3 linked regions of the Caenorhabditis elegans genome follow. The protein of the gene in region 1 purifies or fractionates together with the protein of each later gene. This does not show direct contact. Each region holds a gene or a part of one and is shown in the gene's direction. Other genes may lie near its edges.

Region 1 (10,941 bases):
CTTTGTTTTTGTGGTTTCTAAACAACAAGAAAAAAAAGTTTGAGACGGATTTTCGAGCCAACTTGGGAGCGGTGATATATTATTTTTTATGGACATGAACTTTTTTTTTCAAAAAGTTGCGAACTTTTTTTTTTGAATGGAAGAAGCAAATTTGGGGAATTTTCGAGGCAAAAATATTTCAAATTGTTGAGGCGTGGGGCGCTTTCCAGCCTTATCACTCGCCTGCCTCTACAACAGGGTGTTTGTGGCTTTCCGCATAAATGGGTCATACTTGACGAAATCCTTCAACTTTGCTATTTTTGCAAAATTGGACTCGCCCATATATTGGTTTTTTTGGCATATTCGCAACTTTTTCTTGTATTATTTTAGTAACTTGCTACGAAAAACAAAGAAAAAAGTGGTCAGAAATTATGAAATTCAATTAAATTTTAAAAAAACCACATATACATACACTTTTCTCTGTCTTTGTCATATGATCAGTTGCCAGACAAGTACAATTTTTGATTTTCCAAATCTCATAGACATTCCCATAATCCGTTGCGAAAGAAAACTCTTGGAGAAGAAAACATTGAAAAGGGATTTTTATGAACAAACAAAACAAAGTTACGAGAAACCTGTAGATGATGATGGGATTTCAAAAGAATTCAAGAAAACAACTGATCAGGAACGAATTCAAGAAAGGGGTGAGAAGCTCACAGAGCTACTGAATTGTTAAATAAAATGGAAGACAGTAGGCATGCAGTAGGAAGGCAGTAGGTGGGCAGTAGGCAGGCAGTAGGCCGACAGTAACCAGGCACTAGGAAGGCAATAGGCAGGCAGTAGGCAAGATACCTGCATTTTTTAAGAAGGCGTGAAGAGAGCAAGAGATGTGGTACCCTCGTTACGCCTCCACACAGTGTCCAGAAATTAAAGCAAAAATCCATTAAGAATGAGTAAACCCGTCGTAAACAAGTATCTTGGAACATTTTGTAGTCCGTGAGCAATCGCGTGTTTGGCTCCGCCCAAGCCAACAAAAGCCCTACAATTTCCTGCTCATTCTTCATTTCCTGATCGCGAAAGACAACAACACGAAGCACGAGGAATCGGGAGGGACGAGTACGGATATCCGGATATTCAACTTTTTTTGATTTAGGACGGTTTTTGACAAGTGAACATATTCATGTAAAGAGGGAGAGGAGACTAAATTGGAGGGTTGGAGCCCTGTAACATTATGTGCACATGGCGAGACAGTGCCTGCCTACTGCCTGCCTGCGACAGCTTCTGATGATGACTATTGTGAACCAGGAATTTGTCGGCTGCACATTTCCCAAATTATAGCTTCTTTCCCCGTGAAATGTTTACATTTATAATAATATCAGGGTGTTGACACCCCGTACTACATTTAGCAATAACTTTTACACCAAATGAATGAGTCAATTTGGAAACATTTGTAGTAATCTTTGAATCCACTCCTCCTCTGTTTTTCCCCAATATGGAACAAGTCAAACCCGTCTTTCATTTCTCATCGTCGGCATCATTAAGCTTGTCCTACTTTCTTACTACTTGTTGTCCATCCTCTTGAGGAACAGAGATTCAGGCAAAAATGTTGATGGAAAAACGTTTCGAGAGTGTTCACAAAAAGAGACCTCAAGCGGTTGTGAGTTTTCTTTTCAATTATCTAGAGATCAAAATTTAATTTTTTGAAGGAATTATTCCAATTAAACACAACACTCCTCTTCTGGGTTGGATTTGTTCCTCCGTTGTTTGCCGCAGTTTTTGCGATTCTCACTGCCATTATACTACATCAAGATAAAATCACAAATTACGCATGGATCTGTGGGGTAAGCTATTTTCGTCAAGTGCATTTCCCTACAGCCTGCCTTCTGACTGCCCACCGCTTGCCTACTGCCTGCCTACTGCTTGCCTACTGCTTGCCTACTGCCTTCCTACTGCCTGCCTACTGCAATTTAAGTTTTCAGAGAGCTTTTCTACCATCACTGTCAAGAATCATCAACCTAACTCTCGAAGGACTCGTCTGGCAACTATGCATATTTTTTCATATTCCCTTCAGATTGCTTGAGCTGTCAGTGGGGTGTGAGTTGATTTTTTTTTGGGAAAAGAAAATGTATTTTTAACGGAAAACTTCCAATTAAAAGAAACGTAGAAATTCGAAATAAATATTTTCAAGCTGACAATAAAACAATTGCAGGGGTAAGATATGGCCGATTGGAGAGCCGAGCGAATACTCATCGTCTGTGGTATAAAATGCATAGACATTTATATTTGGTTTTTGGTGTCACTGAGCTCATTCTGCTCAGCGGATTGTCAGCTATTGGAGAGAAAGAGCATGGCAGTGAGTTTAAGTTTTTATTGGAGAAAAATTAAAGAGATTTTGAGGGCCAGGAAAAATTCTGGTAATACTCAGCTCTCAGCTCTAGGTGCCCGAGATGTTGAGCTCCTAAACTGAGAAAGTTTCAAATTCGTTTTTGCAGAGCCTCACTGAAAATCTGAAAATCAAAGTCTGAAAAAGTTATTGTCACTGACCTCATAAATTCTCCTAGGTGAACCGTAGTAGGTTTTGCGAAACTTAAAATAATTAACTCTTTATTACGGCATCGTCCGTTTTTCGGTTGGTCTCACCCGGTGGTGCCTCCACTCGCCCTCCACAGTCCCCCCAACCATGAACATTTTCAGTTTGGCATGTATGCTTCTTCTACAGTTTCGGAGTTGTCGCACTTCTATTTTTCATCTCCAATACTGTCTGCCACTCCCAATCTCTTTACTTTCTGAATCCCTATGTAACTTTTTTCAATTTTTCCAAAAAAACACTACAAATCTCTATTATCAGGGTCGAATATCTTATCATGTGAAGATTGTCATCAGCATTTGCTACTTCCTCTCAGCACCTGCAATTGCCACCTTTTATGCCCTGTATTGGAAAGCTTGTTTTACATGGGGTACTTTAATATATGAATTTGATATGAGAAAAAAAAAATTATTTCAGCGTATGAACTATTTGCACTAGTGGAATATTTGGACGTTTTCATGGTGATCTTTTATCACGGATGCTGTGTATATTGGGATATTCAGCACAAGGTAGGGTTTTTTACTATAGTTTTTTTCCAAGTTTTGTAAACTTTTCCGTATTTAATATTTTAAATGTTCCTGCAAGAATACTCCCCATTTCTCAAAACGGCCAAGAAAACTTTAGAATTTACCAAACCTTTGACTGCAAAATTTCAAACTCCAAAAATTTCGGAAGCTCATAAAAATCCTCAAATTTGACAGAAATTCGAACGTATGGAAAATCAAAAGTTATCAAGTTCTGAAATCTGAAAATTCTACTGACTTCTTTTTTTTTAATCTTCAAATATAATTTTTATTTTATTCTCATACATTTTCATTTTCAGGTGGTATTCAGTGTTCGTCTCAACAAGCCCTCAAAACTAGATAATATCATCGAAGAGAAACCGCTGAAGAAGGAAGTTACGACGGAATTATGAATTTTAAATATTTGTGATTTTATTTCAAAGGCACATACTAGGTTTTCTAAAGAGTTCCATACTCAAAGTACGCTCTTCGATCACAAGGTATTCGCGAAATACACTGAAAACTAATTTTTCTATTATTGGAAACTTAAGTCTTATCATTCTGATCTGATATTTTGAACCTCTAGTTTTATTTTTATTGATTTTTTGTTTGGATATTCATATAATGTGCTTTATGAATAATAAAAAAAATTGGTTTCAAACGAACTGGAATGTGCTGTGACTTCCAGTGATTTCTGGGATTTCAGCCGTTTTCAGATTTCTTTTTTCGGTAGAATTGACATTCGGATTTGAGACTTTTTCATTTTTTTTCACGAGAAACTAATACTTGCATTGGATTTGGTATGTCATATAACTATTGTTTATTCTAATTTTCCATTTGATATCTAGGAAATTGAGGTAAAATTATCGAAAAATTGGAAAAGATCGCATTCAGCCGCCGCTCTTCAATTTTGGATACTCAGACATTTTCAGATTGTTAATCTAAAATTAGTATATGAACCAGTTTACCAAAAACCTTTTTTTTACCTGAATTTAATTTTGATAGCTTTGAGAGCTAAACTGCAAAAAGTAGGAAAAAGTACACTAACTGCAAATTGATACTCGTAAATTTCAAATAACGCATTATTATTGCAGTGTGACTATTTGCTAATTTTCGAATACATCAATAAAGAATATATGATTGTTTGATCTATCTTGTTTCAAGTCTACCCTATCATTTCCCATTCATTTGCAACCCAGACGCAGAGATACAAACCACAACTCTTTGAAAATCGATAGATAATTTATGGTTCATATTATCAGTTTATCAAGGTTTTCTTATCACCCATTGTCTCGTTCATTTCTGCCATGTTTGCAAAACTGTCCGTCCACCAGCTGAGAGATCTTCTCCCTTTCTTTACTTCCCATCCAAAATTTGCATTATTTGCCAACGCTGTGAAATTCGAAATCGAAAAACGTCTACCCAATCATCCGTGTGATTTCTACAGCTATCAGAAATCCGAAGAAAATGCAAAGTACTTCTATTGCTTCCGCCATAATCGCCTTCCAGATAGTTGTCGGTAAGATTTATTAGGCTTGAGGGGGAGAGGTTTGCCAATGCTTTTGTACACAGGCCAATTCTAATGATAGGAAGCGTTCAAACCACGGTCAACGGGGATGACGTCATCTGTGGTCTGGAACAAATCAAAAACTCGGAACCTGAGTTTGAAAACATTATTCTTCTTGTAGCTAGTACGGAACTCGCGAAATTGGTAACAATTTATTTTTAGGATTTTTTTAAAATTTAAATAAATATACAGTCTAGTTAAGTTTGTAAACATCAAATTAAAATTGAGGGGGGGGGGGGGGGGGTTTGAATCGGCATAAAAAAGTTTTTTTTTTGAGATTTCTCGTTATGAAATTCAATTTTTTAGGGTTTTTTGAGCTTATTTAAACAAAAACCTCAGCCGATACTACCATTTTTAACGCTTTTGATAGACTATTTTTCTTTTGATCCTTTTTTTATTCAGGCCAACAAGTATCTTACAACCTGCTGTAATATCCGTGAGAACTATAATGTTCCCTGTAACAACTTCTACCTACCTATCACTGTTTGCCCTGAAATTCAAGAAAAAGTCGATGGAATCACTCTTCCTGTCTCCTTTTCAATTGGTTCCACTCGACTCGAAGATGCCGAAATCGTGAATTCCACGTGGAAATTTGCCACCCCGGAAGACATTTTGCAACAAAAGTGAGTGAAATCGAAATAATTCGTTTGTAAATGTTTGCTAGGGAGAAGATACAACGCCTTCCGACCGCCTGTATATTCCACGAGGAAAAACCGATTGCGTTTGAAATGATAGGATTACATGGGCAGTTATCGCACCAATACACAATGCCAGGATACAGAAATCGAGGATTTGGAGCGATCATTGAGAATTCAATTGTTTCGAAATGTTTTAGGTAAAAATTAAAAATTTTATTGGATGGTAGGTGTTAGTAGGGACAAGGCGCCCTGGACGCCCAGTAAACGCCTTCAAAAAAGAAAAAAATTGTGAAAGAAAAGTGAATATGAAATGAGAAAACCTCATACATAGAAATTAAATTTGAAAAAAGTAGTAGTGGAAAATTTGCCATCCGGGAAGAAACACGGGCAAGATAAGCAAAACGTATTTAGATAATAAGTTAACTAGTATAGTATCTAAATTAAATTATTCCAGAGAAGGGATCACACCTGTCAAATCGGTGGAGTTGAGCAATGAGCCGGTACTGAAAAGAAGTTTAGAGCATCCACTCTGGGAAATCGTGAAGGATGAGAATGGAGACAAAGTGATTTTCGATTATATTGAGTATTATTGAAATTGATTATCTAAAACAAATAGAATATATTGTTGGTTGTTTTTCTTTTAATTTTTGAAGGAATATTTTATAGGTTGACTTATATTTATTGTGTAACAAAAACAAAAGTAACAGCATTTTTTGAAAATGTTCCTGAAAGTCAGGATGTGCGGCGCCGATACCAAACTGCTTACGCCATTGGTACAAAGAGGTACACGGAGAAAACAATTCTTAAACTTTTTGAACTGCGATAAATAGTTATCTAGGTTTTAGTGTCAACTATCAACCGTTTTCTTATCACCCACTGTTCATTTCTACCATGTTCGCAAAACTTTCCGTTAACAAGTTAAAAGATTTTGTCCCTTTTTTCAATTCCCATCCAAAATTTGCATTATTTGCCAACGCAGCAAAATTCGAAATCGAAAAACGTCTGCCCAATCATCCGTGTGATTTCTACAGCTATCAGAAATCTGAAGAAAATGCAAAGTACTTTTATTGCTTCCGCCATGATCACCTTCCAGATAGTTGTAGGTAAGATTTATGGCTTTTCTGGGATTTTATGGAAGGAACGTTGGCCTCATTACCTATAATGTTGCAGTTAGAGAATCTTACAGTAATCCTGACAATAGTGTAACTATCACAAGCCATCCCTGAAGAGCTAATAGAATAAACGTGTAAAGTTTTATTATACTCGACATTTGGCACCAGCTTTTCCCAAGTTTGACACGAATAATAATACCTTACTATTAGATCAGAAGTTGCAAAACTTGGGCAAAAGTTAGGCAAGCCTTGGTTTCGGCGACCCCAATGTTTAGAGGGTTGAGCTTGAGTTGACCCTAAACTAAGTCTTTCCAAAGTCTTGCTTAATTTTTGCACAAGCTTTTTCAACTTCTGGTCCAAACTTTAGCAAGATGCTGGCGCCAAACTCCGATTAGGGCATGTTAGGCCTGGCGGACTCGTACCCTCAACTACACTTCCTGTCAAAATAAATGTTAAGATCCCGTTCAAATTACCTGCAAACGGAAAATTGGTAATGTATGTATAAAGCTGCCGTGCACAAACACTAGAGTTCGCGCCAAAATCTCAGGCAGGCACCAAGGCCAGAAACTGCATGATTGCTTTGAAGTCTAGTGAATAATTTTGTACACAGACCGACTCTAATAGGAAGCGGTCAAACTATGATCAACGAGGATGACGTCATCTGTGGTCTGGAAAAAATCAAACACTTGGAACCTGATTTTAGAAACATACAAGTTCTTGCAGCGAGTACTGAACTCGCGAAACCGGTAAGCTTTTTCTGACTAGTTTTCTGAAAAACTGTGAGTGAAATCGAAATGATTCGGTTTTATGAAAAAAAAGTTTGCTAGGGAGAAGATACAACGCCTCCCAACCGCCTGTATATTCCACAAGGATAAACCGATTACCTTTATAATGGTAGGATTGCATGGACAGTTAGCTCATTTGTACACACTACCACAATATAGAAATCGAGGATTTGGAGCCATAGCTGAAAACTCGATTATTTCGAAATGTTTTAAGTAGAACTTCTCTAAAGCTCAACAAGTCTAAAATCACATTCTTCCAGAGAAGGAATCACACCTGTCAAGTCCATAGAATTGAGCAATGGACCGGTGCTGAAGACATGTTTAGAGCATCCACTTTATAAGATCCTGAAGGATGAGAATGATGGCAGAGGGATTATTGATTACATTGAATATTATTAGTATGTTTAAGTGCCACTACTTTGGTTTTTTTTGTAATTTTTTGTTTAATTGAAAAAATAAATTTACTGCTCATCGAGGAGGTTTTTCTGATTATTCAAAAACGTATTTCTGACGAGAAAAAACAGTTTCAACTACAATAGTCTGAACTTTACCTAAGCCTAAGCCCAAGCTAAGCCTAAGCCTAAGCCTAAGCCCAAGCTAAGCCTAAGCCTAAGCCTAAGCCTGCACTTAAGCCTTATCCAAAGCCCAAGCTGAAGCCTAAGCCTAATAGTAAGTCTAAGCTAAAGCCTGATTTTAAAACCGAAGCGCTCGTGATTGGAAAATTAATTCTGCCATCGAGAAGTCATTGTAGGACCTAATATTATTCGCAATCAGATTCAGGTTTGAAGCTTCAGTTTAAGGGGAACGCCGGAATCAGCTTATCAGCTTCCAAAAATCGATGAGGACGAGAAGGGACATCCCCAAAACATCCCCACTGCAGATCTTCTGATCTTCTCCTTCCTAAACACATCTAACTCCCAAAATCTACAATCAAGTTTGCTAGCTTGCCATTTTCCTACCCTACCAACAACTTTTTTCTCTAAAATCCCGAATATTAACACAGTTCGTTTATTCTTTTATTTGCAACAATAGCATATAGACGAAATGTACATCAAGTTTCAATTGAAACTTCAATTCCCTTTTTTTTGAAACATCTCGATCATTGTGGCCGAATCAATCATCCTCACACAGCCTAGGCATCCCTGGATCACCAGTGTTAAAAATTGCGTAAGATTGTCTGGAGGAGGTGGGTGACATCAGGAGAAAAAATGAAAGACGTGTATGTCTCTCTTTCGTTCTGTTCCAATTAAAACTTGTTACGGTACGAGACTTTTTGAGTTTGCCATTTCTCCGCGCGCGCGCAGGAAGCTACACCACACCAAAAACTACATATGCGAGACGCTTGTACGATTCGGGTTACGTAATCATTGTGGATGCAAATGGCAAATGTAGGTAGAAGAGAGGGAAAGGAGGAGATATAGGAAAAGAGATATGATTATTCGATGCGAAACTGGGTGAGGCTGGGATAATGAGTAAGATGCTGGGAATGGGAAAAGACTTGGGCTCCTGGAAACTTGGCGGCTCCTAGAGCAAATAGGAACTTTTAAGTGTATTACTGATGCCTTCGAGACCCAGTTTAAGGAAGTTCAGACTGTAGAGCTTTTAAACCAGGCATATTCTGTGAAATTAAGTAGGCACTTGACTGCCTGCCTTCAAGGCGACCTGACAAGACACTCCTATGTTAAATAGTGTGAGTCTTGTAACCCGGAAATTGTGGGGCGGTGCAACAAGCCGCCTTGAACTTCTGTCTAATGACACCTAATGACATCTGATCAAGTCGGCTAAAGATGGAATAGGTAGGCATGTCGGTAGGTCAGTTTTACCAAATTTCAATATGAATTTGAAAACAAAATTAGGAAAAGCGCGTTCTATTGTACTAGCCTCAGATGAAGGCTGCCAAAAAATAAGCCAACATTTGACAACCTTATACCGAAGTTTGGCAATTATCTGCAAAAGTACGGTAACTTTTTGTTAAAATTTGACAAGATTCTGCCAGAGTTTGACAACTTACTGTGACTTGCAACTTACTGGCAGACTTTGGAAACTGCTTGTCTTTACAATCTTTAAAAGTTTAGCAATAATTTTTGGGGAATGACTGAGCACATGGCAACGTTTTGAAATTTTGCAAAAAAACTTACAACAACAAAAAAAATGGAAAAAGGAAACATTTGGCAAAAGCTGGGCAACCTTGATTCCTCTAATTTGCGAAACAGTGTAACCAGGAAGAGCGATAAGCTGATTGTGTGATTTACAAGCCCTCAGCGGGGTGCCCCACACCGGCGGGTTTTATGATCATTATGATATAAACAACACAATCCTCTCCCCCCCCCATATCAATAGTGTTGCATTATCACCTTCGAAACATCACAGGCTGATGGAGAGACGCAGATGTTACCGGCCCATTGAACCCGAAGCCGAACGCTCTGGTTTTTTGGACGAGGAGACGTAGAGTGTTGGAGAAGAAAAAAGAAGAAGAAGCCTGGGTGTCCAGTGACGAAGAAATGGGATTTCGAACCTGAAGGAGGTGTGGCTACGGTACGTGGACACTGGCCAAAAGCTCCATGCCATAAAAGGCTGACTTTGCCTACCTCTGCTGACTTTCTTGTCTCCCCCCACCTCCTGAGTGAGTGAAGCGATTTTCGCAATGAAACACGTATCCAGACTGCTTTTGGTGAGTACTTTTTTGGTTGGTTTCGAGAAATTTATTTACGGAGATTGTCATTATGATTGTGTGTGTGTACTGTGCGTTGCCCAAGGAAAAAACATAGCTAATTAAATTTTAATCGAAATTTTTAATCAAGTGCGCGGAGGATTTCGTCAAGTTTTTTGAACTTTTTTTGTGAAAATTTTAATTTGAAATCAACTCAATTAATCTAGATTATCAATTGTTTTAATTTCAAGGGGGTTCTCGGTTAGTATTGGGATTTTAAAGTCTTACTTCGTTTTTTTTTCAAAAAGTTTCAACTAGTAAGTTCATGTCAAATTTTAGAAATTTTGCTGTAAAACTTTGACAACTTTCTGTGAACATTTTTCAACTCTCTGCTTGCGTGCAATTTTCTCTGAAAATGTGGCGATTCTCTGTTCAAATTCTGCAATTTTCTGTCGAAGTTTGGCAGTTTTTTATCCAAGTTTTACAGCTTCTTGTCAGACTTTTCAAACTTTATGTAAAAGTTTGACAACTTTCTACCTAAATTCCTTCAATTTCCTGTTTAATTTCGGTTTAAAACCGCTTTAAACAATTTGGCAACTATTCTCAGAAAATTGCAAGTAAATTTTAGCCAACAAAAATTTGCCAAACTTTTATCTGCAAAAAGTTGCTAAAGTTTGACAGTAAGTTGTTTTTTCAAATGACCCTCAAGCCGCATGGTTAGCTTTGATAAAAGCTTAATTTTTTTTCAAATTTAGTTTCAGGAGAAATGCCAGGAAATTTTCTGTTTTGCTACAAAAAAAAATCTGAAATCTGTTAGTTTGAAAATCAGATTTTCAGGCAAAATGTTCAAACTTTGTACTCCAACTTTTCCATATTGATAGCATCAAATGTATAATTCCAATACATCCAAGCATTGCCATCATTGAAAGGAGACATGTCTAGACGATTACATCCGAAAAACCTATAACCATTTCCTCATATTATATATATATATATACATCATATATTAATATATATATATATATATACCTATAACCACCCCCCTCATCTCACTCATCATCTTAATTACAGTTATCCACATTATTCGGCACCGCCGTCGGATGTCTTCCAGGACTTGGTC
Region 2 (10,491 bases), about 10 Mb from region 1:
AATCACAGTTTCTCGAGGGAAATTATGGATTTTTTATTTAAAAAGTGGGTCCTAACGATCAGTTTGTATCAACTCGAAAATCAAAATTAATTTATCAGAATCAGACGAGAAAATATAAAATAATTATATACATTGCATTTACATGAAAAATAAGCAAAAAAATGACTAGAAAGGTCCAAAATCACAACTATATATATATATATATATAAATAGAAAATATGTCACTTTTTTTATGATTGGCGGTTGTAAATGGGGCAAGCAAAGACTGGAAATTTTAGATAGCTTTGTAGACAATGTACAAAAACATGAAGGAAAGTAGAAAAGTGACAATTAAAAGGAGTAATCTATTCTGAATTGCTCGACGAATCATCGAGCTTAACGTCTTGTTGGCTCTTCCCAAGTCGGCGTTTGATTGGCGCAGGCGATCACGGGAACGACCGATTGTTTCACGTTGACTCGCAAGGTTGGAGAGCATTTCGGCGCCGATCTGGAATTAATTTAGCACATTTTGAAGAGAATTGAAGGGTCGAAGAGACTCTACCTGCTCCGTCTCAACAGCAATCCGATGTGCATCTTGAACTTTCCGCGTAGACCTCTCCAATCTCTGAGTATTTGCTATCAGTTGATCCTCCTGCCTATGCTCATCTAATTGATCATCAAATGCCAATAATTCATCCCGATCAGCTTCTTCTCTGACTCTTTTTATAGCTTTTTCCAGCTCTGTGTCCAATTGTTTCTTGTCACTTTGATAGCTTCGAACACGAAGTTCGTATTTTGTGCGTTCAGTTCTGAAAAGTACTGAATTTTGCAGCCCTGCGGCGCAGTTTTTTTTTCTCTTTTTGCAAATTTTATGTTAATTACAATTTTAATCAAAGCAAAAAAACTAACGTATTCGACTCCAACTCCCTAACAACCAGCTCCATCTGATCCAGCAAATCATTCACTTCTTCCAAACTTTTTCGAATTTCCTGAACTGCTCCGGCTCGATCGGACGATGGCAGAGTGTGCACGCGGCCGATTTTCGAGGTGATTTCCGCAGTTTGAAGCGAATATTGCTTTTCGAATCCACTGAGCTGCTCAACTGTTGCCGATTGGTTCGACATCTGGAAGCTCTGGTGGTAGGTAATTAGTAATTAATGAAAGCAAATTTTAAAATAAAAGGTATTGAAGGTATAATGATTGCCTTTCGGAAAAACGGAAAGAAATAAATCGATATTTTCAATTCAATTCAAAAGTTTAAAAACACAAAAAAAAGTAACAAAACAAAAGAGAAACGATAATCTAAGCTAATTATAGAATGTCTAGAAAATGAATAATTAGGCACGATAATGTGCATATGCCCGATTCGCTTCACAAGTCTTGTGCAATTCCTGTTTCGCTTGAATCGTTGATCCTTCGTTTTGACTGGCGGCGAGAAGCTCGGTCGCGAGGATGTCTCTGGAATTAAATAAATTATAATTTAAAAATAGAAATTAACCCACTTGAAATGTGTCTCTCCATGTTTCGATCGAACTCTACAAATATCTCTCATCATTTTCATTGCTCGAAACTCGGCTTCTGGTTCTTCAATTGGAAATGGAACCTGATAGGTGGTTCCTCCTCGGGTTACACCTTGAAGCTTCATGAGAGGATGACAATTCTGAATTTATTTTTAATTAACCAGTCAATAAAATATAAATTCTCACTTTAATTCCCTTTTTCGCAACAAGAAATGGGTCTAATTCGATACTTTTCTTCTCTTCTTCGGAAGCCTTTGCCCATGCCTTGTACTGCCGGCGCTTGATGATTTCCAACGCGCTGAGCACATTCTTGCGAGAAGTCTCCTTTTCCCCGTCTTTTGTGCACACTCGAATTAGTTTGTCGATCTTTAAAATAGTATTTGATTTTAAAAAAATATTCAAAGCATTGCAAGTTTACCACATGATCTCTGTAAAATACTGGTGTCGCATCACTTTTCATCGCTTTGAGGAACAAAAAGTTGCGCTCATCATCCGAATCCAATGGTTTTCGGAGCTAAAATAATAGTTAAGATTTATAGATTAAAACAAACAAATTAACCTCTTGAACATTCGTTACGGGATCTCTGAATACTCTTGGATCGTACATATTTGATGTGGAAGTCGTCGAAGAAATCCATCGTTTTTGAGCGAATCGCGCCAGTTTTGTGGTCATATTTACTACAAATAACAATATTAAGTATTTGATAATTAAATTGCAAATCATGAAGCTTTGAAAACTGCAAAAATATGCGAAGAAAACTCGGAAATCAATGGAAAATCCGTGGACTCGCTCGTATTTCGACACAAGAGTGCAGTGGAGCATGCTTGCATACTCTGCGTCTCGTCTTTTTGCATAGTCTATCGTCTCAATAAACTGGGCGCGCATGCATTTCGGAGTATTGTTGCTAGACATTTATCACTTTTTGTTTTTTTCCTGTTTTCATCGGCTTTTTTCTGAATAATAATAATACAGTTTAAATAAATTAAAATTCCTTTTTCTTATTTATGACACCTTCCTTTAGCTTTTAAAATAAACCTGGTTTATTTCGTGAAGAGAAATCCTTTTCATGTCATAAACGATTTTATTTCTTGCTTCTTTTTCAGTATTTCCGCTCACTCAGCCCCCGCTCATTCCGTGGAGAATATCAATGTGTCTCGTTAACGAATTCGTATCGAATAGCAATGTAAAATCTCGTTTCAAATGTATTTATTCTTTATAAAACAAAATTATTTTCAGATGAAGCCGGCGCTCAACGTTTCTGGCGACGAAAAGGAGCTCATCCTTCAGCTGCGTCGTTATCTCGAGGAAAAGCTCACCTATCTTCTAGATCAAAATGGTACAGTCAGTATTGGAGTTTCCGGTGGATCGATGCCACGAGTCTTTTCGAAAGCTATTCTCTCTTTGCCACAAGAGCAGCTGAATTGGAAGAGGATTCGAATTTTTATGGTTGATGAGCGTAACGTTGATCTGGATAGCGAGGAAAGTAATCAGGGAGAATATTTGAGATTATTCCCGAATGAGCTCAGAGACGTTTTTGTGCCCATGCAAATTTTCAAGGATCCCTGCCTCACCGCCCAACACTATGAAATCAGTCTTCGTAAATACTTGCTCCCGGAGCAGCTCAACAATACTGCTCGTTTCGATATTCTTTTCCTTGGAGTTGGTCCAGATGGTCACACTGCAAGTATCTTCCCTGGAAAGGAGCGGCTGGAGAAGATTACCGAGCTAAATTGGGTTTCCGTCATCACAGACTCCCCGAAACCTCCACCATCTCGTATCACACTTACTTTGCAAACTCTTCAACACGCCAAAAACGTTGCTTTCATCATTTGCGGGAAACAAAAAGCGGAAATTGTACGAGGAATTTGTGATCGTGATCAAAAGTATCCGGCCGCTCAAGCACGTCCATTCAACGACAAATTGACACTATTCCTCGATGAAGACGCAGCAACTGGTGTACCGGATAGAGATTCGTCGGATTCTGACTCTCCTCCACCGTTTGACGGATGAGCAGCATCTTGTGTGATATTAAAATATATACCTAATTTCTTTTTTTTTTCTCTGTAATTTTCTCTTATTTTTTTCATTAAGTCGCATTCCTCCTTATTCCTTTAATTATGGCCATCATCAAAGAGAAACAAAAAACCACAAAAAAAAATTCAAATCGTCGTGAAAGTTTTAAATTGTTTCCGGATTTCCTCCAACTGTAAAATAAAATTGCAATTTTTGAATTTATGAAATTCAATTTTCTAAAATATTGTAAACGGTTCATTACCGTGAATTACTTTTTTTAGATGCGGAACTTCAAAAAACTACAGGATCGATCGGGGAATTTGCTCGTTTTATTCTCTTTTTCGAATGAAAATGCGATCCAATTTCAATCTCTTATAGAGTAAAAAATCGTGCCGCAAGGTTGCAAAATTACGCCCCGCCTCTATTTCTGTGCGACGTTGTTTTTTGCAAAATTCATGGATTGAAATATGTCAAAATTACTGAAATATAAGGATTATTCTAGATATTTATGCCTCTTATCATTGTTACCGGTCATCCATCGTCTGGAAAATCTACAGTTGTTGATAGATTAGCGAAGAAATTCGAGGAAAAAGGTAAAAATTGTGTATTTTCTGCTTTAAAATTTCTTAAAATTCCCATCATTCCAGGCAAAGACTATTTGATAATACGGGACGAAGATTACGGAGGATTTGATCGAAAAAACTACGAATTTTCGAATAAAGAGAAGGATCTCCGATCTTGGATTCGATCTCAAGTTCAACAGAATCTAACGAAGAATAAAGTTATAATATGTGATGCTTTGAATTATATCAAAGGATATCGATATGAATTATTCTTAGCCGCTAAGATGAGCAAAACCACGTATTGTGTCGTCGAGTGCTCGCCTCCCGTCGCCACGTGTCACTGGCTCAATGAGCAGAAGCCTGAAGTGGAGAGATATCCGAAGGAGATTATCGATCAGTTGATGATGAGATATGAAAGGCCGGATACGAAGTTGAGATGGGAAAAACCATTGTTTGAGGTTAAAATTGGTACTGCTGAGAAGTGAGATTGGAAAATTAATTGGAAAAAAAAATAATAATTGTTTCCTATTCCAGAGCCACGCCTGTAGACTTCGATGAGGATATGGCGATAGACTTGGAGCATCCTGCTCCGAGATTTGCGAGCATTTTTGAAGATGAAATTGTTGAATGGATTTGTAATGTAAGTGAATCCTAAATTATCGAATAGAAAAATAATTAGTTTTCCAGGGAACAGAGCTCACAGAAAACCAATCAACACAGACAGTCCCACTGGCGCCGACAAATTTTCTTCACGAGCTGGATCGATCCACACAAGACGTTGTTACAGTGCTTTTAAATGCTCAAAGAACTGCAGTTCGCGGTCAAAACCTGACGATTCCTGGAGCAACAGACGGAGCCAATACGATAAAGTTTATGAAATTGAGAACGCTGCCTGAGCTGAATCGACTGCGACACCAATTTGTGAACATGTCGAAGAAGGATCCGACAACTGATAAGGAGAAGATTATCACGGGATTTGTCGATTTTTTGAATTGCAATTTGAGATGATTGTTTTGTTGTTTGTTATGACTTTATTTGAAAATGCAGAAAAATAAAAATCCAAAGTTTTATCATGTATAGGCTTGTGAGTAGACGGTGAGCTGAAAACAAAATTCCGATTCATTTTAAATTTTGTAAATTTAATTACCAAGGCTTCCAGCTCAGGAATCGCTCGAACTGCACTCAATTTATATGGATTTGTATTACAGAATGTGATTGATGGGAAGTTCGACTCTACCATTCCAATCTACAATTCTTTGGCTTCAATAAAATAATAAAGATTTAAAAAAAAAAGCGATTTAAGAAATTTACATTCAGATTCACCAATTTTTGAAACGAAAAGTATTGGCGAACGGTGACGGTGATAAGGTAGACGAACAAAACGGCGCTGATAATGAGCAAGGTTGTCCAGAGAAGGATCGTTGGCCACTGGAATCATGGAATCTCTGAATTTGAAGAAATATTTGAACCTATTACTTACTGAAAGAGATTGAGCCATGTGAGGGATTCCATGCCACGAACAAGACAATCCCCACTCGTGTACAGCACTTTTTGTTTTTCTGAATCCGAAAATCTATGGAAAAAGCTAGAAATTTAGAGTTTTTTTTATCTTACGACCATCTCGTTTCATCGACTGGTTTATCTTTCCATTGATCATTTTCAATGTCTTTAATGATTTCTTTGAATTCTCCATCTGAATCGGAAAAGTCCAAATCACTGTCGATAATCGAACTTTTTCGCTGCCGAACTTCAGACATAAGATGTGAAACAAAAATTGAGAAGAAAATTTACAAAACACTGAGCTTGTGCTCTTTTATTCTAACAAACACTGGCTTCAAGCCTACTTTTTTAAATTTTAGATGAAGAAAATGGAGAAGTGCTCGGATTTCGGAAAGAAATATGAACAATCAAACGGGGGAATGGAGCATAAATAATTTAACAAGAAATGATTACAGGAATAAGGGGATGGTGTAGGTAATTATAATTACATCTGGTTACTTGTTAGCGTTGTTGGATTCGTTATTAGCTTGGTATGATGGACGTGGTTTCGTGTTGAAGAAACGACGAGGTGGCAGAGTGGTGGTTGTGGTGGTGGTGGAGTTGGAGGATCGAGCACGTGGAGCATTGATCGATGAGCACATGCGATTTCCAATTTCCTGGGCCTTGCTGATGTCTTCTGGACGTCCGAAAAGATGGGAATTGGCGATACGGACGCGGTTCATGAGCTCGTACATGTGCATCATATGGAATACATCATCCATTTTTCTGAAATTAAATTAGATTTTAAATATATTTTCTCAGTTTTACAACTAACTGCATTGAGCTATGATTGTTGTTGGAATGCTCAATAAAGCTTCTCATCATCGCACACTTTGGATTGTAACAGTCGTTCTTTGACTCATGGTGGCTTGGGCTGTTGCCTGGCAGACGATAACCGTATGGAAGCAGGTCTGTAACAAACGTAATGTATATTTTTAAGTTTTTATTTGGGAATTTTCGAAAAAGTATTATCATAATTATTATAGAACACGAAATGGGTGATTGATAGACACATGAAGGATACAGGTAGATACAGGAAAATTATATATATATAGGAGAATTTTAAAAATACTAACTCTGGAACGGATGCCCATAGTCGCCGGATCCTGGAGATGTGGCTGAGCCGCGAGGTTGGTAGGTACCATTCATATTGGCAAGAATGAGCAATTGTTGACGCTTCAGCTCGTCGTTACCGTCAGTCTGAAAACTTTTATTATTGGTGGATAAAAGCGATATTTTTATTATTTTTCACTCACTGGTACATCAAGAATTGCTTGAATGTGACCGACGCCACCTTTCAAGAGTTTTGCAGCTTGCGGCATATCTGCTGGAACAGAAATTTGCACTCTCAATGGACCTGTAGTGACATCGGGATTCGAGCTTGATCCATCTCTCTTGGTTCTTCCGAGGATTGTGATGCGGCAACCAGTTGTCACTTCGAGCTGCTTTGCAGTTGTTCCACGTGGTCCAAGAAGTCTTCCAACGAAGTTGTAATCGGGAAACTTTTCTACTGGAACCATGATAGTCTCCGTGAGCATCGAACCATCGCCACTCATTTGTGAGCCACCATCATGAGCATCGTTTCCTCCGACTTTCTGAATCTCCTTGTCGATCAAGTTGAAGACATGGTTGAAGCCGCCGCTAGAGTATTGAGCCAGCTGATGCTTCTCGCCTTTCAGCGCATCGATGTAGGCTTCGACATCGTGCAGATTCTTCGACATCTCCTGATCCGAGTGGTTTGAAGTGGATTTCAGCGACTTTTGAGAGTCATCCGACGGTGGCGGAGTCAGAAGAGACGAGTGTTGATGCTTTTCGGCGAGGCGGAGAAGTTGAATGCCGTCCGTAAGCGAATCGGCAGAAGAACTCATTGTCAGGCAGAAGATGACTCTGAAATTAAAAAAAAACATTAAAAATTAACAAAAAAAAATAGAAAAAAAACTCACACGACTGAACGAAAAACGTTTTAAAACTGAACTTTTCCGGGAAGGTCATCGGATCAAAGACGGGCGGATGGATGACGTGGCAAGCTCACGTGGAAACACCACATCAGCCGCTGCGTGAACTTTTGCTCTCATTTATTAAAAAATATATTTAATATTAAAAATATTTTTCACTTCACGTGAGCTGTCGTTCTTTTTTCTCAGTGTGTGAAGTGAAACTTCGGCGTAAATTGAAAATGAAGTGAAAATTCCTACGTGAAGTTAAAAATCCTCCATAAAATGAAACTCCTGAATAGACTTGCGCACCTTTTGCATAGAATTCTGCACCACCTGCATAGAATTTCGCAACTCGTGCATAAACTTTCGCTGATGCGTAAGCCGAGAACGCAAAAAATAAAAATAAATCTGAACTGAATGTTCTTTCAACAGAAAAAAATCGCAGAAAATAGCAAAAATGCAAGTGCGCTCTATAACAAATTTCCATTCGAAGAGACAGTGATGATTTATTCATAATTACATGGTAAATTGCAAGAGGGGGCACCTGTTTTATAAGATTAATGGCAAGGGGGAGGGATGCGAAATAAATATTTTACATGATAGCGGGGTAAGTATGAAATGTTAGTTGGGGGAAAGATCAATCAATCAATCAAGGGGCGGCGTGGAATCGTGGCGAGCGTCTCTGTGTGCTGGTAAGTGGAGTGGATGACGACGACGGCGAGGATGATGTGGAGGATGATGTGGAGGATGATGGCGTGGAAGGGTCCGGTTGCGGAGACCATCGTGGCGAGCGTTTCGGATTCGCTGACAGGCCTGCATCGCGACCAGCCCTGCGTCTTGCTGACGCTTCTCGTGCATTAGCTCGAACGACCTGAATAATTGAAGCAATTAGGTTCCAATCATAAATTGAATACGTTTATAACATACCTCCTTCGCTGCATCATTTAATTCCTCCCATCGTTTCTTGTCGCTCAACCTCTTCTTCTCTCGTTTTTCGGCTTCCTTCGCCCTTTTCACAGCATCAGAAGGCTTGGCCTTCTTCGGCCCACTTCCTTTCCTCGAAGCTCTGTTGGCGTTGCTTTTCGCATTTTCCTCCTTTTTCTTGCTCGGAGACATCTTCTTGTACGATTCCTTTGCGGCGATGGCTCTCTTTGACAGATCGTAAAGCTGGGCTGGTTGGGATCGCATCTTGTTCTGGAAGAAGACAATGAAGAGAAATCACAATTACCGGGGCTTTTCAAGTAGTTCGTAAAATCAAAGTGTATTTCAAGATGCTCGTTGCCTTATAAATTTAAAAACATGTATTTAAATAAAGTTTGTGACGTTATTTTGCCACATTTCTCGGAAAAATCGTGATCAAATATTTATTCAAAACACTTACCGTTGTTAGGAAAAACAATTTGAATCCAAAAATATAGCAGGAAAAATCAAGGGAGGGCAACCACCAGTCGCCCAGAATAAAAGACAGAATGTCTAACTGTCGAGGTGTGGGGACGTCGTCGAATTAAATGCACAATACGCAAAGGTACGCAAACACCGATGTGTACCGTACTCCGAAATGTTTTTAATTTCCATGTTTTAAACTAGGAAATCGACAAAAATGAGAGTTTTAAGCACAAAAACAGAGCTTTTGAAGCAAAAAATTATTAAACAATACAGATGACATATGCTCCTAGAAAATACCAGAATGAAGGTGTTTTTGAGGAAAAAAAATTTAGGCCAAAATTTTTTTTTAAACAACAGTATTTTCGAGGAATCAGAGAAGTTCCCGATTTTCCAACAAGTTGAATCTGTAGAAGACTTAAGAATACTCTCGAAAAAAGTAGCTCTACAGAAGTATTTTAGGCCAACGGAAGGTTCAAATTCACAACAAAAGTCAATGTGGAATAGATTTCTTGTAGAAACTGAACAATAGGAACAGAAAATAACTTAATGACTTATTCTGTAGTAGTTCCAATCTTTATGAACACATTTTCAAGTACTAGATATCTTCCAATCGAGAAAAAAATCTGGATAGGTTCGGTTTTCTTTTACGTCGTCAAGTGTCCTGATATAAGCTTTCAATGTGTTTATTGGATCACGAAATTCTCGTGAGAGCTCTTGTCAGCATAAGCGCACATCAGCATAAGCATATTCAAAACGTGAGCATAAGCATATTTCAAAGGTTTCAGCATAGGATAGTTGGCAATGAGATTTTGCAATAAAATGTGTCCAACTAGAATGTTGTTGGCGATAGTGTCAAAAACATTTGGTTTTTTAGGTTTCAATGTTTTTTTTTTCGATTTATGAAAAAAAAAATCCAAAGGGTACCCCTTACAAAAATTTTCTAAATTTTTTTTTGAAAACTTTTTTTGAAAACTTTTCAAAATTTGATCAGATGTTATAGAAAAATGCAATGTTTGTTGTTTATCTAGTTTAGATGTTCTGAACACGAATTCAGACTAAAACCTGATGTATAGTAGAACCTCAAAATTCAAAAAACGCACTCACTTCGGATGCTGATATCTCCGTGTAATAATTTTTTATGACAAAGTGATCAACTACAAAGTTGTTTATCTTAATATAAAGTACAATTTTGCAGTTCATCGTTTTTTATCAAAAAATTGGTTGGATGAGATATGAATAGAAAAAGAAGAAGAAAATACAAGCATGAAGGTGCCGAACTTTACACAACTTTATCTCGACCAGCAATTTTTTTGGTGAAAAACAATCAACTACAAAGTTGTACTTTAGATTAAGATAAATAACTTTGTGGTTGATCACTTTGTCATAAAAATTTTTCCACGGAGATATCAGCATCCGAAGTGAGTGCGTTTTTTGAGCTTAGGGGTTCTACTATACCTCAGGTTTTCGTCTGCAATAGTGTGCAGAACATCCAAACTAGACAAAACTACAAACATTGCATTTTTCTATAATATCTGATCAAATTTTGAAAAGTT
Region 3 (10,801 bases), on another chromosome or scaffold:
GGCCTATCGCCGAAGAAACAGTGGTTAGTTTTGATCTTTTTGTAGAATCTCTGTTCGGAAATTGTATCTAACTACAGTATACACCCCCCCAACAAAACTACGAAAAATTGTACAGTGCGCGACTATCGGATTCGTTTGGACCCCCCAATACTCTCCAAAAAAAAATTTAAAAGTGGAAAATGCCCAAAAAAAATCGATCGTCGTACTCTTTTTTTTACCAAATGTTTTTTTTTCTTCTTTTGTCTCACCTCCACCCCACCCCGTTATGTTATTCACTTGTATAAGTTGTTATGAGAAAACCTCAAAAAATTGAAAATTTTTCAAAATAATAAAAAAAAAGTTAAATAATTGTTATTACCGTCTTGTTTTTCTTTGTATATTCTTATTTTTGAACTCGTTTCCAACGATTTTTATACCTCGTTTTCTGGGGGATTTCCCGAAAACCCCCCAATCATCTAATCCGAAATTACAGCTACTGAGAAGCCAGATGTCGTCAGCACAAGTCTACGAAATTGTGGTGGAGTACGCGGATAATCATTGCTCGACGATCCCGTCCACCTCTTCCTCAGTGTCACCAAGAACCTCTGGAGCCACCTCACCAACCTCTTCCACCTCCTCCTCCTCAACTGGCTCCGCGAGAAGAGTCCGCAGACTCTCGAAAACTAAGAAATCCGCAACCTTCCGCAGATCGACGGCGCGCAAGCTCTTCAATGGTAAGATATCAAAAAGGATCCCCAACTCAAAAATGCTCAATTCATCCACATTCCAGTCGGTAAAAAATACGCGAAGCGGTTCGCCACTAGCACCTCTTCAGCGGCGTCGAAGTTGCGGCTCGTCAAATTAAAGGTGGTTAAAGTTTTTCTGATATTTCTGCTTAGCGGAGATTCTGGAAAATTCGCGAAAAATAATATTTAAATTCTCTACAGATCGACAAAAAATACCAACAACGGTTAGCGGAGAGCAAGGCCCGAGTTGAGCGTTTTCAAAGAGAAAGGGAAGAGTTGCTCGCGGGCAACAGCCAAGTCGCTATTTTGGTGAGTTGAAGGACCGAATATCTAGCTTAAAAGTGTTGAAAACTGGAATATTACACCAAAATACATAATTTTTGTGGGTTTTTGCCCAATTTTCTAGTTCTTAGCACTTTCTAGCCTTGTAAAATTGGGAAAATTACAATTTGGAGTTTGAAAACAAAAACTATTTCGATATCCTACAGACATTGGCCCTCCAGAAAGTTTAGGCAGAGTGAGAGAAAATGGGAAGCAAACAGTGTGGCCCTGTAAGTACCTGAATTACACTAAAACACCTATCGAAAATCACAATTTTCAGATTCCTTATACCAAAAACCCTGGATAGATGCGTGTTATTACACAGAAATACACATAAAAATCAACAGATAAGCCCCGTATTTTTTGCTAGAGCAGACGACGATTTCAGCAATGGAAATAGCTCAAAAACTGTGGAAAACCTAGGTTTTAGCTATTTTTTCTACCAAAAATCCACTTAAACCCTTTTGAAATCGCGAAATCTGTTTAAAATGTACAAAAAAACGAAAAATTTGCTCAGAAACTGTTTGGTAAACCAATGAGATTTGTGAATATTTGTTCAAAAAACTAATTTAGATCAATTTTCCACAAATATCGTTGGTTTTACCATAGTTTCTGAGCAATTTTTCGCATTTTCAAGATTTTTTAAAAAGATTTCGCGATTTAAAATAGATTTCCGTAGATTTTTTCTAGCAAACTTAGCTAAAATCGAGGTTTTTTTCAGCATTTTCGAGCTATTCCCCACGTTGAAACTCGAAACTCTGCCTTAAAATTGAAATTGTCTTGCATATATAATCCCCACCATATATACTCAAAATTCTATTGAAATTCTAAAAAAATCACGAAATTAATTCATTAATTTTTCAGTGCGAGGAGGTGACGTCAAAAGCCAGATCGCTGCGCGAATCCTATGAACGTCAACGGCCCGTGTTGTATCACGCGGTGCTTTCGGCATATTTAGAACAGGAGGTGGTGTACGAGGATGATGAGGATGATGAGGAGGAGGAGATGGCGGCCGGATTCTATGGAAGAAGCTACTTTTATTGAGATCTTCGGCCATTTTGTTTCTCTGCAAAAATCTTCAAAATCCGTCATTTTAGTCAACGTCTTCAGCTGCTGTGGTGGTCGTTTTTGCCCGTTTTTGCAATTTTCCGTTTTCTTCTTCCTAATGTACTGTAAATAATGGGAAGAAGAGGATGTCTGAAGTATTGCCGGCCAAATTCCCACTTCACGAACACGCCAAATTTACTCTATTTTAGACTGTTTAGCCGTCATATATTTCCCTGTCGTTTTTCTTGTGTTTCTATTATTTTGTTTTTCAAAAGCGGTGCCGCCAGAGTTTTAAAGAACGCCTCCCCCCTTTCCCCCTATCAACCCCCCTCGCCAATCTTTCCCCTGAATACGGGTGTGTTAGTTTACGGGCGAAATTCCTCCCCCAACAATGCTCTCGCTAATTTGCGCTGAACAGTACAATTTTCATTTTGAAAGTCCCCTTTCTAGACGTGTCGATAGGTGAAAATGGTGGGAAAATTCGAAATTTTCGCTATAAAATATACTTTAATACAACATTTTTCTCAGATTTTCAGCTGTTTTTCGAATTTTCACATAACTCCTCCGGAAGTGGTGGGAAAATTTGAAATTCCTACGGAAAATTTGCAATTTTCGCTTCAAAATTTGATTTTAAACTTGAAAAATCTATATTTTCTGATTTTCACACCATTTTCCACCAATCCACACACCCTAAACCATCTCCAAACTTCATATGAAATAGTAAAACGATACGGTCACTTCGTAAAATAATATAACAAATGAGAAGAACAAGTTAGACGAAACGAAAAAAACCCCCAAAAAAACATTAAAATTAAAAATATTGGAAAAAAATGCTTAATAAAATATTAAAAATATATATGAATACTTGTTTTTGTGTGTTTTTTGTTGCAATGTCGGAGCAAAATTTAATAGAAATGGGAGAAGATTTGGAATCTGAAAATCGCGGCGAGTTTCAAATAATAAAGAGATCACACGAGTTCGCCAGATTTTTTAGATTTTTGATCTAAGAAATTGGGATAATTTCTGTTTTTGGTAAGATTTCGTTTTCAGATTTTTCAAAATTCGATTTCCCGGATTTTACCCGCAAAAATTGTTTAGTTTTTCAATTTTTTCAAACTTTCTGGTATTTTCTCGTAAAAAAAGCCTGGATAACCATGAGAAATTTCGCTGAAATTCGAAAATTTACCTAAAAATCGCAATGTTTGCGGAAAAATGTCTGAATTATTCGGTGAAGCGGGAATTCAAAAATAATTACAACTTTGGCTATGGTTTTGGGAAAATTAAAAAATTTAGGAAAAAAATTTGTTTTTTTAGTATTCGGAATACCGTAATCACTTTTGCTAACATTTATTGATAATTTCTTATCATTTGCGGTTTATTTTCTGAATCATCATCATCACGTCATGCAAAATTACCTATCACTTGGAAAAACTGTAAATTTTTAAAAAATTAGGGGGTTTTCAACTTCAAAAATGTATTATCTAGACGCTTCTTTATGAAACATGCACCTTTAAATTCTGATACGGTAGTTAGTCAAGGTTTTCCTAGTTTATTATTACTCAGGTACTAAATTTCGCGACTTTTTGGTCTCGAAACGTTAACGACAAATGTTTGTTTAATGGGAAAAAAACGTTGTGCGCCTTTAAATAGTACTGTAGTTTACAAATTAGATTGCTGACGAATTTCCAAATGTTTTTTTTGTAAAACTATGAAAAAACGATTTTAAACACGTGAAATTGAGAACTACAGTACTCTTTAAAGGCGCACACCTTTTCGCAGTAAACTGTCGTGTCGAGACCAGTGACCTCCCCCCCGTTACCGTATCCTTATCTTAAAGGCGCATACCCCTCTCCTTGTTTTTTTTTGTTCTCATCGTATTTTTTTGACGCGTACGAGCTCGTTGCCAGTCAAAAACTAAATAATTTTTTTGAAATTTCAGAGAAACAACTGGCAAGGAACCCCCTACGCGACTGCAACGACACACCAACGGATAAAAATTATTAATTTCCCCCACTTTTTATTTTACTCAAAAATTATACAAATTCTCACCCAAATTTTTTTCCAAAAACTCACTAAATTTCAATTTTTCACCGTTGAATGCCTTCAAAAATCCATAATATATCGATTTTTTAGCTTTTCTACTGTAAAAACTTTCATGAAACTTATTTAACGAATTTAAATAATTATATTTCTCACAAAATAAACAATTATTTTTCTCAAATTACATATTCATCGAACACACATCTCATATAGGGCCTCCACTCAAATTTCAGGCAATTTCCCTCGAAAATTCGCGAATATTTTAGCCAATTAGGGGGTATAAAAGCGTGTGTGCTCCGCGGGAGCCAACAATAATTCTATCGCCTCCAAAAATGCCGATTTCCGAGCTCGAAAAGGTGAGCTAATTTTCAATTTCAGTCTGGTCAGCAAGTTCGCTTCAATGAGACGCTCATTCCAATGTGAAAACGCGCTCCACGGCAAATTTAAAACGCTCCGCCTTCGAACCATGGGTCTCGTTAGGTATTTGGCGGTAAAATCGTGAATTTGAACTTTTTTTCCGTAGTCACGGATTTCTGGCTTCCCTAGGGAGGGAATTCCCTCGTAAATTGAAATGGAAGATTTTAGGCCGAACTAGGCCATTTTGCCTCGGCCATATCTGGGGTAGATTTACGGCGCGTTGCGTGTCGCGTCGCGGCTCGGTTTTAGTTGTAAAAATAAATGTATTTGTCCGTGTTGAGTACACGACACTTTTCCACGCGTTGACGATTGTCAATGGAGCGCGAAAAATGCATTGAGGAAGCCCAGAACACTGATTTTGTTAAATCCAGAAAAATGAAATCGACGTGAAAACGCGCTCGGCGGCTAATTTGAAACGCTCCGCCCCCGAATTATGGGTCTTGTTTAGGTATGGCGTCCAAATTTGGCGGTAAAATCGTAAATTCAAACATTTTTCCTATATATTCCGTAGTTTTTGAGAACGCTGCAAAATTCTCGAAAACGTTCGAAATTTTTCACCAAATACCTATTACGGGACCATGAGATCATGAGAATGCCTACTTCTCTGGCGGCAAATATCTCGTAGCGAAGGGACCTGCGTCTCTCTTCGCCATATGCTCTCTCGCTGCCGCGGCCTGCCAATATTTTCGCGCCAGTAATAGGCATTCTCATGATCTCATGGTCCCGTAATAACGAGACCCATGATTCGCGGCCGTTTACGCCCCATAATAGTAAAAGATGCAAGCGCGCTCCACCGAATTTTTCGAGGATTCAATAATAACAATCAAATTCCCAATTCCCTCAGAAATGGACCGGGCTAACTTTTGAAATTGCCGCCGAGGAGATGCGTCGGCTCAAGTCCGAGCCAACCGATCGAGAGCGGCTGAAACTCTACGCATTGTACAAACAGGCTCTCCATGGGGACATTCCAAATGAGGATGTGTATCGTAAGGGTCTCGAATGGAAAATAATCCAAAATCTAACATTCTATATTTTTCAGCAGTTCCCGCCGGTGACGAGGTCGGCAGGAAAAAATATGCCGCCTGGAAATCGCAGAAAGGCGCGAATTCGGAGAAATGCCGCGCGGACTACGTGGCAATCGCCGAGGAAATGATCAAAAAATACGGGCGGAACATTGTCCGTTGCAAGTGGAACAGTGAAGTTTGGTCTGTGGATTATTGATTGATTTTGAGTATTTTTTTGTTTTTGAATAAAAATTCAAATCTCTTCATATTTGTTCTTGGCGTTCTGGGTCGGTGGGTATCGTGGCGAGACACCGATAGAGAGAGTGAGATAGACTAGAGAGAGAGATAGAGAAATGGGGAATGTTTGGGGGGAAACGGTAGAGATCACAAAATAACTTTTTACAATCATTATCAAAATAAATATGGCTCAGATTGGCCGGGGGGTGGGACACAAAAATACAAAATATGGACATTTTTTTGGTGGTGTGGGGGGAAAATTATGATATGACATGAAAATTTGGAGGGGATTTTTTGTTCTTGTTGTAAGAGATTTTGGACTGGGACAATTTGTGAGAATTTGGCAGATTTTTAGGTAGGTAGGTAGGGGGTGGACGGAGGAATCCAGATTATCTCGAATAATGATCTTCGTGAGCATCGTCGTCTTCACCGCCCATCGATGATTCCTCTTGGATCATTGTCATTTTCCCGAAAATCTTCTCGTACCACGGCTGTTCTTGGACTGGAGATGATGTGCTGGTGGTCGTGGTGGAAGGGATTTGATGAGCTGGCAGAATCGCCGATGACGTCATATTCAGATGAGAACCGTCGACGAGCAGTGTATCCTCCTCGCGAATCAGTGAAAGATCCTGAAACAAAATTTGTATGGAGGGGGACCAATCAGCGATTCGCACCGCCCATTTTTCAACCAATCAAATGAAATGGGCGGAGTTTATTTGAAGTAGATTTTTCATTGTTCAGGGATTTTTTTGTGGTTTTTTTTGGAAAGAACAGCGAGAATGGGGGATTTTCTCTAAAATTCAAAATGGAACTGCTAAACCAATCAGCGTCCTCGAGCTCCGCCCACTTTTTGTGATTGGTTGAAAAGTGGGCGGAGCGAATCGCTGATTGGTCGCAGTTCTCATTTTGGAAGGAATTTCGCCAAAATTTAAAAAAATCGGGTTTTTAAAAAATAATTTTCATTTTTTTTCGTGGTTTCCCTGAAAAATAGCTAGAACGGGAATTTTGCTTCTTTTTTTAATCCAAAAATAGTATAAATTCATTAAAAACCACAAAAAGGAACTGCAAAACCAATCAGCGTCTTCGAGCACCGCCCACTACATCTGATTGGTTGAAAAGTGGGCGGTGCGAATCGCTGATTGGTCGCAGTTCTCATTTTGAAGGGAATTTCGCCAAAATTGAAAAATCTGGTTTTAAAGTAGAATTTTACATTCTTTGCCGATTTTTTTGGTGGTTTCTCTAAAAAAAGCGAGAATGGGGGTTTTTCTCTAAAAAATTCGGAAAAAAAACTACAAAAAATGAAAAAGATTCGTAAAAAGAGATTTAAATTGATATTTAAACTTTGAAGAGAACTGCCAAACCAATCAGCTCCGCCCACTATATATGATTGGTTGAAAAGTGGGCGGTGTGAATCGCTGATTGGTCGCATTGAAAAATCGCATTTTTTGTGTTTTTTTCATAATTAGAAGCAATTGTTCAGCGGGGATGCCGTACCCTTTTCGGTAGAACCGTCGCCCGTTCCTTCTTGACAACTCCAGTCTGATTACGCTCGACGTGCTCCTCGTTGGCGCGGATCATGGCTCCATAGGTGCGAATGTTCTCCTGAAAATTCTCAAAACTTGACGGTTTTATCCGGGAAAAAGGCGGACTAACTGGTTTTCCGAACATTTTCCCGCTTGCCATAGAAGCTTCATAGTCGGCCTGATCAATGAGAGAGCTCAGTGGACCGGTGGATGGTGGTGCCGGAATATGACGACGTTGATGATGATGATGATGATAATGATGATTGTCAGACCTTTTAGGTCCGTCACCAGTTGCCATTTCAATATTGACAACTTGCATCGATGGATAGACAATCTTCGGAGCTGGTGTCTGCTGCTGCTGCTGCTGCTGCTGCTCACTACCAAGATGCTCGAATTGATGATGAAGCCGGCGGCGAGGAGCACTGTATCCACTATCCGACATATCGTGGAAATTGTTGAATGGTGGCCGACGATAGCGTTGTTGGTACTGCTGCTGCTGCTGATGTTGTCGATGGTGAAGCTCACTCAGATCCTCCACTTGGGATGATGATTCGTCGGGATTGGTGATCTCGTCGTCGCGAGCCGGTGAGATCTCGCCTTCTTGAAGAGCACGGTTGTACTCGCTCAGTGGAAGACCCTGCAAGAATTTTTTTTTAATTAAAAATTAAAAATTCCTATGGAAATCTACTAGATTTTGAATATTTTTCGGGAAAAATTAGGAAATCTGCGCTGAAAATGACTCAAATTTTGATTTTTTCAATTAAAAAATAGCGAGAAAACAGAACATTTGAAAAATTTCACTAAAAAATCAATGGGTTTGGCAGCTCTATTTCTATAAAATGAATAGGAATTTGAAGATTTTTAACGAAAAATCAGAAAAATCCGACTGGAAATGACGAAATTTTTGTCTTTTTTGGTGAAAATAACCTAAAATTTGTGAAAAAAAAAGAATTAATCGCGATTTTCAACGAATTTCAGCTCGAATTTTTATGAAATTTTTAGGAAATGCAAGATTTCCCACAAAACTAGGGGCAAAATTCAGTGAAAATGGCGAAAAATTTGTGGAAAATTGAACTGAACGCGACTTTTAACAGTTTAACGAAAAATCTGAAAGTTACAATGTGTTTCACACAAAACGAGGATTATAAACTGACTTCAGCTCAAAATTTCCATGAAATTACTTAGAATTTGATGATTTTTAACGAAAATTTGAAAATCTAACTGAAAATGACCAAATTTTGATCTTTTTCACTGAAAATAACCAAAATTTGTAAAGATTTCGCAATTTTCAACGAATTTCAGCTCAAAATTTCGACGAAATTAGTAAGAATTTGAAGATTTTAAACAAAAAAACCTAATATAAAAACCTAAGAAAATAATGCTATTTTATTCATTTATGAGAATTCCTGCAATCTCAAATGTTCCAACCTTCTTCAGCTTATGAATAAACTGGCATCGTGGTCCATAGGGACACTGTCCAAAGTTGGAAAACTTGTCGCACAGCTGCGTCTTGTACTTTGGATGCGCCTTGCCACGTGGCTGCGACGGCATCCTCAGCTCGTTCTCGCCGTGAGCAAACCGGCAAGCTTCGCCGTACGGGCAGGAGCCTGAGCGCTTAAAAGCGTCACAAAGTGCCGTCTTGAATGCTTCTTCCTTGCGCTTCTGACGCTGAACCGACTCTCGTTCGTCATCAGTCATAGTCTCCCATTGAGCGGAATGACGGCGATATTGCGATGAGGAAGAGGACCGATGCATGTTGTTGAATGACTGAAAAATATTAGATTTTTATATTTTTTGAATTTAATAATTCAAATTTCTCCTACGTCATCGGACACAGAGATATTCTTGTTGGTGGCTCTGCGATATGGCATGCTTCCAGCCTCAATTGGCTCCTCCAACATTAGCTTATCCATTTCGGGAATCGCGGCCGCCAGCGACGGAATGAGGTTCCTGTGGGGAAGCATCGGGGGAAATCCTAAAATTAATTTTTAATTTTATTCGATTTATCCTTCAGAAGCTAAAGAAAATACCATGTTGATACATATTCTTTTGTGGTTGGAAGCCTAGAAACGTTTGTTGAGCCAACGCGAGAAGAGCCGGGTCGCATGGAGCATTCATGAAGTACGGCGTCTGCTTTTGTTGGTGATGCTCTCCATTTGAAGATTGCATCCTTCTCCTTTCCTGAAATTAATTAATTTGGTGGAAAATCGACGAAAAATCATGTTTTATTGAGGAATTGAGGAACAAAATCGTTAAAAAAAGGTGTAAATTGAATTAAACTGAATTTTTGGGCAAAATCTCCGCAAAAAATGAAGAAAAATGAGCGAAATTCGCGCCATTTACCTCAAAATCCAAAATTTCCCGCTCCACGGGCTACGGTAGTCGTGGTGAGACCCTGCAACAACTTTTGTGGCTGCGTCTTTGAACCGTAACTTTTTGATTCATTTTTATTATTCTTCTTTGTTTTCGGACAGTTTCCTTGTTTATTTGTTCGGTTTTTGATGTCGAAAACTCTAGAAAACAAGAATATAAATTGAAACTCTTCGAGACACAATCTATTTTCAGATTTTTCGCATGTCTGAAAGCTTCTTTCCATTTTTTTTTCGTTTCTTTTCCCCCGTCTATCATGAAAAATTCTCTGAAAAAAAAACTAAATCCGGTTTCCAATCTTTCGAAATTTTTTATTTGCCTAGTTTACACTCAGGAATATTCCTAAGTATAATACCAGGAAACCCCCCGAATACCCAGTCTTTTTCCATTTTCCCAATTTTAATTTTATGTTTTCTGTACTTTTCCTTTCAAAAAGTGCTTCTATTTTTACTATTCAAAGCTGCTCAGCGTGAGCATGCTCATGACTAAGCACGAGAAGCTGAAGCTGAAAAATTAGGGGGATCACTTATTCGGTGGATTTAAAATTTTGAAAATTAAAGTATATATTTTGCTAGTTTAAGCTGTTTGTTTTAAAGCTTTATCTTTAATTTTGAAGTTTTTAATTTTCCTCCCAGTTTTCACCATGAAAAACTAATTTTCTGCTCAAAATCCCCACGAATCACTTTCCATGCTTCGATAATTCCCGTGGTCTCGTCACAAGTGCGCTCTGTCGAACGCGTCGCGGCTCTCGCGGCGCGTGTCTCATCTGGCCATTTCTCCCAGCTGACGGCCCTGTCACGTGCACTTTTTGCCCCTTTTTACACAAAAAATCGCCACTTTTTCAATCTTTTTGTTCTTTTTTTCGTCACCATCACTATCCTCTTTGTCAGAAAATGCGAAACTTTCCATTTTACAGGCGCCCTCACGCGAAAATGGCCGATGCGATTCAAACCGCTCCTAGGTTCACTGGTTGGTTTTTACTCGAAAAAACTGATACAATACTATTTTAATCCAGGGAAAAATCGAGACCCGCAATTATTCACGGTAACCAATCATTACAACGAGGTGAGCTACACATATTTCATTCAAAAAATCGAAAATATTCCATTTCAGGCGG

The links.
Region 2: the proteins of ZK185.3 (region 1) and Y57G11C.43 fractionate together in Caenorhabditis elegans (co-fractionation; one large-scale study listed by BioGRID). This does not show direct contact.
Region 3: the proteins of ZK185.3 (region 1) and acbp-6 fractionate together in Caenorhabditis elegans (co-fractionation; one large-scale study listed by BioGRID). This does not show direct contact.

The regions. Positions count from the first base shown.
Region 1 is NC_003282.8:4,523,763-4,534,703, reverse strand, and holds ZK185.3 (Glycine N-acyltransferase-like protein), read left to right. Parts: upstream 1-4,271; 5' UTR 4,272-4,376; coding exon 4,377-4,588; intron 4,589-4,641; coding exon 4,642-4,780; intron 4,781-5,038; coding exon 5,039-5,259; intron 5,260-5,300; coding exon 5,301-5,471; intron 5,472-5,728; coding exon 5,729-5,867; 3' UTR 5,868-5,945; downstream 5,946-10,941. Other genes in the region: ZK185.4 (Frag1/DRAM/Sfk1), read left to right, coding at 1,583-1,636, 1,686-1,820, 1,959-2,073, 2,189-2,332, 2,674-2,777, 2,828-2,936, 2,984-3,075, 3,390-3,482; ZK180.6 (Prion-like-(Q/N-rich)-domain-bearing protein), read left to right, coding at 9,816-9,842, 10,893-10,941.
Region 2 is NC_003282.8:14,765,554-14,776,044, forward strand, and holds Y57G11C.43 (Protein KTI12 homolog), read left to right. Parts: upstream 1-3,887; 5' UTR 3,888-4,021; coding exon 4,022-4,106; intron 4,107-4,160; coding exon 4,161-4,557; intron 4,558-4,610; coding exon 4,611-4,716; intron 4,717-4,763; coding exon 4,764-5,084; 3' UTR 5,085-5,146; downstream 5,147-10,491. Other genes in the region: vti-1 (t-SNARE coiled-coil homology domain-containing protein), read right to left, coding at 275-487, 542-788, 889-1,103; mrps-7 (Small ribosomal subunit protein uS7m), read right to left, coding at 1,317-1,437, 1,482-1,639, 1,686-1,865, 1,918-2,013, 2,059-2,172; Y57G11C.3 (Putative 6-phosphogluconolactonase), read left to right, coding at 2,648-2,683, 2,737-3,510; degl-1 (DEgenerin Like), read right to left, coding at 5,147-5,176, 5,224-5,322, 5,388-5,504, 5,557-5,635, 5,691-5,833; Y57G11C.36 (K Homology domain-containing protein), read right to left, coding at 6,071-6,341, 6,391-6,526, 6,692-6,815, 6,872-7,483; Y57G11C.51 (DUF3362 domain-containing protein), read right to left, coding at 8,202-8,423, 8,480-8,740.
Region 3 is NC_003280.10:11,967,331-11,978,131, reverse strand, and holds acbp-6 (ACB domain-containing protein), read left to right. Parts: upstream 1-4,399; 5' UTR 4,400-4,465; coding exon 4,466-4,489; intron 4,490-5,394; coding exon 5,395-5,536; intron 5,537-5,589; coding exon 5,590-5,771; 3' UTR 5,772-5,819; downstream 5,820-10,801. Other genes in the region: Y17G7B.21 (Regulator of rDNA transcription 14), read left to right, coding at 488-713, 770-846, 927-1,034, 1,911-2,090; mex-1 (C3H1-type domain-containing protein), read right to left, coding at 6,181-6,420, 7,286-7,402, 7,445-7,951, 8,743-9,081, 9,138-9,289, 9,345-9,483; W03C9.5 (PTK2), read left to right, coding at 10,617-10,653, 10,700-10,749, 10,798-10,801.